Linked DNA regions of Caenorhabditis elegans. The protein of the gene in region 2 purifies or fractionates together with the protein of the main gene of each other region. This does not show direct contact. Each region holds a gene or a part of one and is shown on either strand. Other genes may lie near its edges.

Region 1 (5,231 bases), on a different chromosome or scaffold from region 2:
TAAAAAATTGAGTGAGGCTCACACTACAAACTACAACTCCACAGCCTCATCAAATCTGGTTGAGGCTAGAAAAAGTGTAGTTTGTAGTGCGTGAGCCTCAATCAAGCTACAAAATTCAAAAATTCGTTGAAAAACTTGATTTTCCGGACAATTTTCATTAAATTAGGTGATTTCCATGTGGAAAACTCATCATAAAATTGAAAATTTTGTATTAAACGGAAAAATTTTAATAAAATAAACAGAAAATGAACTGAAATTGGTTGAGGCTCACACTACAAACTACACATTTCTTCAGCCTCCCCAAACTTGGTTGAGGCTAGAAAAAGTGTAGTTTGCAGTGCGTGAGCCTCAACCAATTATCACTTGGACAGTTTGGCCTGCAAAATATGAAATTTTATGAAAAACTGGGTTTTTTTGGGGGGAAAATTGTACTAAAAAAGCTAAGTTTCACGTTCAAAACGGAAAAAAATGAAATTGAATGAGGCTCCCACTACAAACTACAACTCCACAGCCTCTAAAAACTTGGTTGAGGCTAGAAAAAGTGTAGTTTGTAGTGTAAGCCTCAACCAATTATTATTTACACAGTTTGAGCTGCAAAATGGAATAATTTATTGAAAAACTGATTTTTTAGGCAAAATTTTACTAAAAAGCTAAGTTTCACGTCGAAAACGGAATAGAAAACTAAAAATAAATTTGGTTGAGGCTCACACTACAAACTACAACTCCACAGCCTCATCAAATCTGGTTGAGGCTAGAAAAAGTGTAGTTTGTAGTGCGTGAGCCTCAACCAAGCTGCAAATTTGTCAAAAAACTTGGTTTTCCGGACAAGTTTTAGGCGATTTTCATGTTGAAAACTGAATTTTCAAAATTCTGTTAAAATAAACAAAAAATGAACTGAAATTGAGTGAGGCTCACAATACAAACTACAACTCCACAGCCTCCCCAAATTTGGTTGAGGCTAGAAAAAGTGTAGTTTGTAGTGTGTGAGCCTCAACCAAGCTACAAAATTCGAAAATTCGTTGAAAAACTTGTTTTTCTCGACAATTTTTACTAAAACATGCGATTTTCATTTTGAAAACTCATCAGAATAATTTTTTAAAAAATTCTATTAAAATTAACAACAGAAATAAAATGAAATAAATTTAGTTGAGGCTCTCACACTACAAACTACACACTTTTTCAGCCTCAACCCACCGCCAAAACCTCAATTTTTGAGCCAAAATCGCCATTTTTTCCTTTTTTTTTTTTCCACAAAATCCAACCTGATAATCAACATGAACAGTCTTCAGAAGCGTATTCAACGCCACATATCGAATATTCTTATCCGTATTCAAAAGGAATCGTCCAAGAATGTTCACAGCCAAAATGCGCAGGCCACTCTCGCTCTTAATCTCCATAATCGTGAGTACAGTCTCATAGAGAATCGCGTTTCCGACATTTTTCGCCGTTTCCGTATTCGTTGCCACTTGCGCCAGAATATCATTCATCTCTTCAGTGACACGTACGTCATCCTTCCCCAAAACTCTCAATAATCTCAGAATTTTGACCTGAAGGAACGGGTCAGAGATGCCGGTGACGTCGTGTTCCGGCGAATATCCACTCATTAGAAGATTCTTTAGAATCCGTACCAAATTCGGCACCAATTTCTTAAAATGATTCAAGACATCCGGAGATTTCTCGCACATTTCTGTGACCAAAGTCGTTGCGCCCATCAAAACTCCGTGATTTTTCTCTCCCAGAAGCGATCGGGTACATGGAATGAAGACTTCCATCAGCTCCGGCACTTTTCGAACGATACGGAACGCACAGAGCGCCGCTTTTTTCTTTAAATACGCATTGTTCTGCTTGATGATCTTCTCAACCTCGTTGGCCAGGTCTCGACACATTTCCGCTGAGCAAATTGAGCCCAGAGTGCAGAGAGCTAGTCCGCTGACGAATTGGGTGGAACAGGTGAGGTCGCTGGAAATGAAGAATTTAGTTTTAAAAAATAGAGTTTTCCGCGGAAATTGGGATTTTTTGCTTTTATTGTATCGAAAAATAGTGAAAATTCGATGAAAAACATTGAAAATGAGCAAAATATTAGTTGAGGCTCAGGCTACAAACTACAACTTCTGTCAGCCTCACCAAATTGGAAAACAAATCGTTTAAAATTTGGATTTTTAGCAAAATTTTCACCTTTTTTGCTCAATTTCCGGATTTTACAACCAATTTCTCTATTATTTCGTCGAAAAATAGTGAAAATTCGATGAAAAACATTGAAAATGAGCAAAATATTAGTTGAGGCTAAGACTACAAACTACAACTTTCTGTCAGCCTCACCAAAGTTGGAAGAAATCGTTTTATATTTGGATTTCTAGCAAAATCGTGAATTTTAAAGCAAAAATTCCAGTTTTTAGAACCAAATTCACTAATTTTAGCTCGAAAAATAGTAAAAATTGATGAAAAATCACTAAAAATGAGCAAAATCAAGTTAAAAATCTTGGTTGAGGCTTAGGCTACAAACTACAACTTTTGTCAGCCTCCCCAAAGCTGCTGGTTGAGGCTAAAAAAGTTGTAGTTTGTAGTCTACGCCTCAACCAAAATAATAATTCTTCGGATTTTTTTGTTTTCTATAGCATTTTTTACTGTAAAATCTCATTTTTGCATTGAAAATCCTTTAAAAATTGCTTTTTCTTCAAAAAATCAAATTTTGATGAGAAAAATCGCAGAAAAAAAGCTTTTAAACAAGATTTTTTCATTTTCATGGGTTTTTGCTAACTTTTTAAGCGAATTAGTGACGAGCATATGAACTTCCGATCGTTCATCGAGAAGAAGCATAGCTCCAAGATACCCAATTCGTTTGTCAGTGAATCGGGGGTGAGCCACCAGTTTCATGCACTCCATCTGAATAACAAATAATTTAATTTCCGGCGAAAAACGGTTCAATAACCTGTCCAAAATGCGCTGGGTAGCCGAGCATATGAATATAGAGCAATTTCGCGATATTTCTACATTTCCACGGAGAATCATCGTCTCGGAAGCTTTCTCGAATATTCGCACTTTCTCTATCCACCACTGCTCGCTCTTCAGCCATCGTTCGTGCCGCTCTGACCTGCCGAATTAGGTCTCGAAGCCGCATCGGAGTGCCGAGAGTTCTGAAAAAATAGAATTTACTGGGGAAATTTCGCAAAAATTTGAGTTTTTTAATGTTACAAACCTTCCAATCTTCGACTTATACTCATCGATCTTCTCAATGGCTAGCTCGACAGCCGTCGCCATCCTTGGAGCCTCACCCTGCAAAAATTCCTCATTTTTTGACGTTTTTTTTGGAGTTTTTTAGTTTTTTTTACAGCTCAGCAGTGAAAGTAAGTGGAATAAGTGAAATAAACGACGCTTATTAGTGAAAAAATGAATTTTTTAATCAAAAAATCACGAAAATCCACTAGAAAAAGCTGAAAAATCAGTGACAACACTGCAATTTTATTGATTTTTTGCATTTTACAATCCAACGCAGGGGGCGAGTCCGCAATTGCGCGTGAGGTCTGGTGTGGAGGTACCCGATTGCAGACCGTAGTAGGGGGAATTTAATTTTTGTTTTTTTTCTTTTTTCAATTTTTCGATTAAAAATCACTGAAACTTGAACTTTTCGCCAAAAAAATCGATTTTTTCCAGATGAACACCGAAGAATCGTCGTCCTCACAAGAATTGGAGGAGAAAAAACCGTCTCTCCGCGCTGAAAGATGCGGGATAGCGTCGCTTTTGTCTTCGGTAATTAAATTTCACTTGTTTTCCAAAGAAAAACCGCTTGCTTTTTAGCTCCGCAGTGACCATCTTGCGTCGAAAATCGATGAGCTATCGACCACAGAGGCTGCTGCTTCAGAAGAAATTCCCGAAGAAATCCCAGAAAACCGCCCATTAAATCGAAAAGAGAAGCGAAAACTCCAGAGAATGCAGGAAATTGACCAAGAAGTCAAGAAAAAAGCTCAAGAACCTGTAGAAATCGCCGAAATCCCCACAAATCTTAAAAATACATTTTGGTATCTGAAAATTCGAATTTTAAGTCAAAAAATCTGAAATTTTCAGCGATAAAGCCACTTTCAACTCGTACAACGCTCAATTCGGCTATAAATCAACGGAAAATAATAATTTTGTGCACTTTTCCATTCAAAATGAACAGGGAAACCGGGCTCTTGTGGCTTCACAGGATAGATTTATAAGAATGTATAAAATAGATGAAACTGTCGGTTTTTCTTCCAAAATTTCTGTAAAATAACGCTAAAAATTGCAGCCAGAAGTGATATGGAAGCATAATACGGGAAATTTGGTGCTGGATTCTTGTTGGGAAAACTCTGGAAAAGGGGTGTTCTCGTCGTCAAAACTGCGTCCAATTCAGCTATTTGATACGGAAAATGGAAGTATTCTCGGTGCTTATAATGGAAAAGATGCTGGGGTTGGTTTTTTTTTTTGCAAAAAAAAAAACGAAAAAAAAATGCTTAAAAATTGACATTTTTACATAAAAATCCAAAAAAAATTGGTTGAGGCTCAGAGACTACAAACTACAATTTTCTGAGCCCCAACCAATATTGGGTGAGGCTAAAAATAGTTGTAGTTTGTAGTCTTTAAAAGTAATTTTTCACTTTTTTTTCAATTAAAATCTGTTTTTTAATCAAATTTGTGCCAAAAACCTCTAAAAATAACTGAAAATTGCTAATTTTTTAAACAAAAATGCATTGATTGAGGCTCAGACTACAAACTACAATTTTCTGAGCCTCAACCAATATTGGGTGAGGCTGAAAAAGTTGTAGTTTGTAGTCTCTAAAAGAAATGTTTCACTTTTTTTCAAATTAAAGCTGCTTTTTAATCAAATTTGTGCCAAAAACTCGAAAAACCACGAAAAATTAAAATCTTCGCCTATTAATTCATTTCGAGACTACAAACTACAACTTTTTGAGCCTCAACCATTTTGTAGTTTGTAGTATAGTCGTTTTTCTGCAAATTTGATAAGTTTCAGAATTTAACATTTTAAAAAAATTTCCCTTAAAATTTATATAAAAAACAATCAATAAAAGTTAGACTACAAACTACAATTTTCTGAGCCTCAACCAATTCTGGTTGAGGCTAAAAAAGTTGTAGTTTGTAGTCTAAGCCTCACCCAAAATCGATTTTCAACCGTTTTTAGTGATTTTTAAGTCAAAATTTCCCGTATTTTCACCAAATTAAACAAAAAATTCAATATATTTGCAGGACAATAT
Region 2 (4,909 bases):
TTCAAATTTTTTTCTGACATTTCCACCCACATTTTGATCTATGTAAATTTACAAACATCTATATATAAATATCCTTAATGTTGTTTTTAAATAAACAAGTACATACAAACAGCAATTATTGAAAAGTTGACAAAAGCCATGGATCAGATTTAGTGTTTTGGGAATTTGCTTCAGTACCCTTCTTCAAAGAAACTTTTGAGAAGAAAATCGTCCCTTTCCAAGAAATGTGTCTAAACAGCTTTGTTGAGCCGTTCCAAGGGATATGTTAGAATAGCGATAGTGTTGAGATTTGAAGTATACTAATTTTTCGAAAAGTTTGAAAGCATATAATTTTTTTATTTTTTTTTTGTTGGCAGAAAATTTGAAACAAAAAAAAATAATCGAAGTACCAATTAATCCGAAAGTCTAGCGTAAAGTTTCCGAAAAGGAAAAAAACATTTCTAATCCTAAAAAGTAAGCATATCACCTTAGAAAATGATAAATGTATGTATGTTCAATGTTTTAATAGGGTTATAACGCCCACGTACCAAAAAAATATATTAAAGCCAAATATTATATAATTTTACCTTTTTGAAAATCTTAACACTCTGTATTACAACCCTAAAATGACGGTGTCTTAGGAATTCTGAAAATTTTTTATCCAAATGAAAATTTTCAAAAAATGTGGTTACAAATACCTATATTTCTTAAAGTCTATGGCTTTCTTTTTGTGTCAGATTTATAAATTTGTAGATACACTTATCTTCTCAATTACACAGATAACACGTTCTTGTATGTCTTACTCAGCATTTGGTGGCAACTTCTTGCTTACGTCTAGCCCAAAAATGCTACTTGAATTCAGAAGTTGGTAAAGCTTATGTTTTGCAAAATTGCAGCGCCCGACAATTTTTGAGTTTCGCGCCGTTCAAAAAACTTGGGTTGCATAGCGCCAAAATGAAAGCCCTATTCTTGTATTTTAATGCTTGGCTAACCCATTACAAAGGTTGGATCAAATTTGGACTAAACTAAGGCCCGAACTAAGCCGGTCAACTTCTGACTATAATACTTTCCGGCCACCTAGGAGCGCAAAATTGCTAACAAATTTCTTATTGATTCACAAGTATTTTAATTTCCAATGAAACCCCCAATTTTCACCATTATTATTACTCTGGCATAGTCTCTTGTTGGCTAAACTCATATTTTTTTCTTCTTAAGCCGCCGCCCAGGTGTGATACAGTTTCCTTTTGTTTGTCACTTTTACCTGCCTCTCCAGCTCACCACACCTTTCAACCGAACAGCTTAACTGTTCTTTGCACTTTGTGCAATCCAGAACTGACAATTGAGGTGTACGTATGTAGTAAGATACAAGATATCCCAGTACAGACCTCCCACTTCAATCCCGACACAGCGTTTACCACTGTGACGTTCTCTCTTTCTCTCCGCTCTCCCCTCATTCTGACGTTGTGTTGTTTGCCAGTAGGTCGCGGCACTCATAAAAAAGCTGTTGGAACTCTCGGCGACCTTCTTTTCTTCTGCTCGGCTCCCGGGGGCTCCCATGTGAGGCGCGCCCCGCGTACCATATGATAACGCACTTTGACCACTCACCGCGCCGCTAATGGCCCTTACTTATGCAGGCAGCCTCTTTTCCTGTGTTTTCACACATTTTTCGTTTTGTGACTCCTCTTTTTTCATCTTCTGTTTCTCCTTTCCGCAGTCTCCCTGCTGACTTGGCAATTAGCACTTATTTGTTGGAAAATACGTGAAAAGTGCTTGGTTTTTGTTTCAGAGGTGCACTCCTCTCAACCTAGATGCTCATTGAACTCTTCTCACACAGCGCTCCACCTGAGGATCCCTACTATGTACCTGCAAATGGTAAGTCTGATCAGTTGAACTTTTCATGCGTTTTTTTGGGGATGAACCATAGACAATGATGATGTTTTCGTTTGTGTCGGAATCTAGGAATAGATGCTTCTTGCAAGAGAACAAAAGAATTTGAGGAAGGGGGTGAAGAATTCAGTGGGGAAAAATGGGCGGAAAAACTCAAAAAGTTATGCGCATACCTAACGTGTGTGCATATTCAATCACCGTCTTCCTCTAAAATTTTGACGTCTACGTCTCCGTTTCGTCGCCACCCACCAGATTTTTTTTTCGGTATTCAGTGAAAAGGGGAGCATGATCTCAAAAACTCTAAACTCCCAAAAAAAAATCTGAACAACAGGATCTCACATTTCCAATACATATCCACATAGACAGTGGCGGCGCTTAAAGAAAGGGCAAAAACGGTTTTGTTTGTTTGATGGCTTCTCTCGCTAGGCTGAGTAAATCAAAACCGAAAATCTCTAGCCGTCACAGCCAATACCATAAGAAACGTCAAAGGTCGTACGTGTTAAATTTGATCCTCAATGAGTAGACTGTACCAGGGTCATAAAGGTGATTGGTCGGCGCCTATCCAACAAAACAAGAGCAGCACAATTCAATTTTAAATCCGAATGTTTAAATTTAACTTATTAATTTTGTCTTCGGAACATTTTTAGTAAAATTACGTCATTTAAAAACATTCGAAACCAATTTTACTTTAAAATTTTTATTCTAATATTTTAAGTTTACAAAATAAATAAAAAGCTAAATATAAGCTTTATTTTTAAATTTTTGAGCTGATCCCTACCTTTTCCGTAATTCTATTTCCCATTTTTGAATCAAAGTTTTTGAAACCTTTTCCTTTTCCCGACGGATTTTGTCAAAAAGTCTAGCTCTCAGAATAGCCCGACCTTTTTTTCAAACTGATCCAGCTACAAAAACCAAAAGGAAAAGATTACGAACGGATTAAAAAAAGAGTTGCAAATTCATTAATATGAGTTCAAAAATGGCAACTCATCAAGCGACCGGTTTTTGATGATTAATACTTTCATAAATTGAAACTCAAATGTTTTTGAGTAATTAATTTCTGCTATTATTTTCAAACAACATTCTTCATTTATAATTTATCGCAAATTCGTCTCCCGAAACCCTTAATCATGCATTTTTGTGTTTTTGTTTCTGAAAGAATGACAAAAATTTTCAATAATGCTTTAATAATTTCTGTTGCCAAAAATATTTGTTTGTGGGGGTTGTAATTTTGAAATTCCAGGTGAAAATATTTTGAAAAATCAAGTTCTAGTAGCAAGTTGAACTAGTTTTTTATTCTGAGTTTAACGAACAAATGTCAATTCACGTCAGAGAAGAAATATTTTTGGAACAATATTTTTTTTGGAAATTGTGTAATTTTCACAAAAATTTTGAAAATTTCTGTCCCTGTGTTTCCCTAAAATTGACATAATTTTTGATGAGTTCATTTTATAAAAATTTCTTGATGGTGTAAAAATTATAAAGAACAATAAAATTGTGTTTTAAAGAAAAATTATATTCAAAAAATCTTATTTTTAATTGCTGGGATCTATAAAACTGGGCAAAAAGTGTTGTCTATTTACGTTCAGGAAATCTTGACTAGAACATTTTGCGAAATAGCAAAAACTCAATTCAATAATTTTTTAAAGCTAGTATTTTTTGGAACCATTAACTCGAAATTTGAAAACTGGAACCAAAAAAGTGGGCGGAGTTTCCAAAACGCCAGCAAAAAATCATTGGCAGCTCGTCATACTTTTTTCGCTTTCCTCTCTCTTTTTCTCCCCCCGGCCAGCCTTCTCCTCTCTCCACTGACCTGTGATGTACCTTAACAATTTCAAAACGAACGACACATTCGGAAACATCTAATTTCTCACCCATTTTTTATTATCAGAGAGCAACCAATTGTTGCGTGGGGTAGTGAAAAAGAAACACGTACATACATCTCTTTTCTAGATTAATCTAATCTAGAAAAGGCGAAGGCCGCATCGAAGGCTTCACTTTGATTTACTTTTGTGCGTGCGTCTGCATTTTTTTTTCATTCAATTACAAATTCATCATCATCATCCCAATTCAATCAACCAATTTTTCAACAATTCAACATCTAGAATCATTTGCAACGACGGCGCTCACACCGCACTTCTCCACAACGAGCGTATGGTCGATACGGGTGCAGTTGATCCCGACGATGGGAATCTACCATTTCAACGGTGTCGCCTTGTTTCTGTTGCCGGTGCTTTGTCTGATTGGGTTGATCGGCAACTTTTTGGTGTGTGTGGCAATTGCGACGGATCGAAGGTTACACAATGTCACCAACTACTTTTTATTCTCATTGGCTCTGGCTGATCTTCTGGTTTGTTGTATTGTGATGCCATTGAGTATAGTGGTCGAGGTTCGGCACGGTCAGTGGAATATTTTTGGAATATTTTTTTAATTTAGGGCTAGAAAAGAAAATTCCTATACTTCCTATACTGTTCCTATACTGGAAAATGTACATAGGATTATTGTTTCTACAAAAATTGAAACTGTAATAAAGAAAAGAAAAAACCTCATAAATAATTTTGATCTACCTGTCCCACTGAATTATGGCTTAATTTTGGCTTAAAACTGAATATTTGGTGTCTACACTATATGGCCGACATTTTTTAGGTTACGCGACTTTTTAAATAACCTAAGAAAGACAATTTAAAATGCATTCGGCAGAGGTGAATTGTGTAGGTATAAGGTAGGCGTAGGTAACTTTAAAGCCTAATTTTTTTTGCTGTCATGCAAGTTATAGGGAACAGTGCAATATTTTAGGCTGATAAAAAAAACTTAACCCAAAATGCTTTTTTACTTAATTTTTTACCTTTTTCAATTTGTGAAAACGAATCAGATGATTAATAGGCTATAAACTAAACTATTGTTTGTTTTTTTCAACTTTATTTTTCCCTTCTCCAGGTGTGCAAATACCACCAGCGCTGTATTTTGTCAATTAGCTAATAATTTCGATGAATTTTTTTCAAAAGTATCTAACTATAAGCATCTTTGAGCGCATTTGTTAATAAAT

Evidence for each region.
Region 1: the proteins of ser-1 (region 2) and apg-1 purify together in Caenorhabditis elegans (affinity purification with western blotting, with the first as the bait; one study listed by BioGRID). This does not show direct contact.

What each region holds. Positions count from the first base shown.
Region 1 is NC_003279.8:14,404,070-14,409,300, reverse strand, and holds the start of apg-1 (AP-1 complex subunit gamma), read right to left. Parts: upstream 3,274-5,231; 5' UTR 3,259-3,273; coding exon 3,197-3,258; intron 3,135-3,196; coding exon 2,930-3,134; intron 2,884-2,929; coding exon 2,759-2,883; intron 1,960-2,758; coding exon 1,263-1,959; intron 1-1,262. Other genes in the region: tcab-1 (WD_REPEATS_REGION domain-containing protein), read left to right, coding at 3,652-3,747, 3,796-4,016, 4,063-4,219, 4,268-4,429, 5,224-5,231.
Region 2 is NC_003284.9:16,577,958-16,582,866, forward strand, and holds the start of ser-1 (G-protein coupled receptors family 1 profile domain-containing protein), read left to right. Parts: upstream 1-1,787; coding exon 1,788-1,851; intron 1,852-3,968; coding exon 3,969-4,262; intron 4,263-4,909.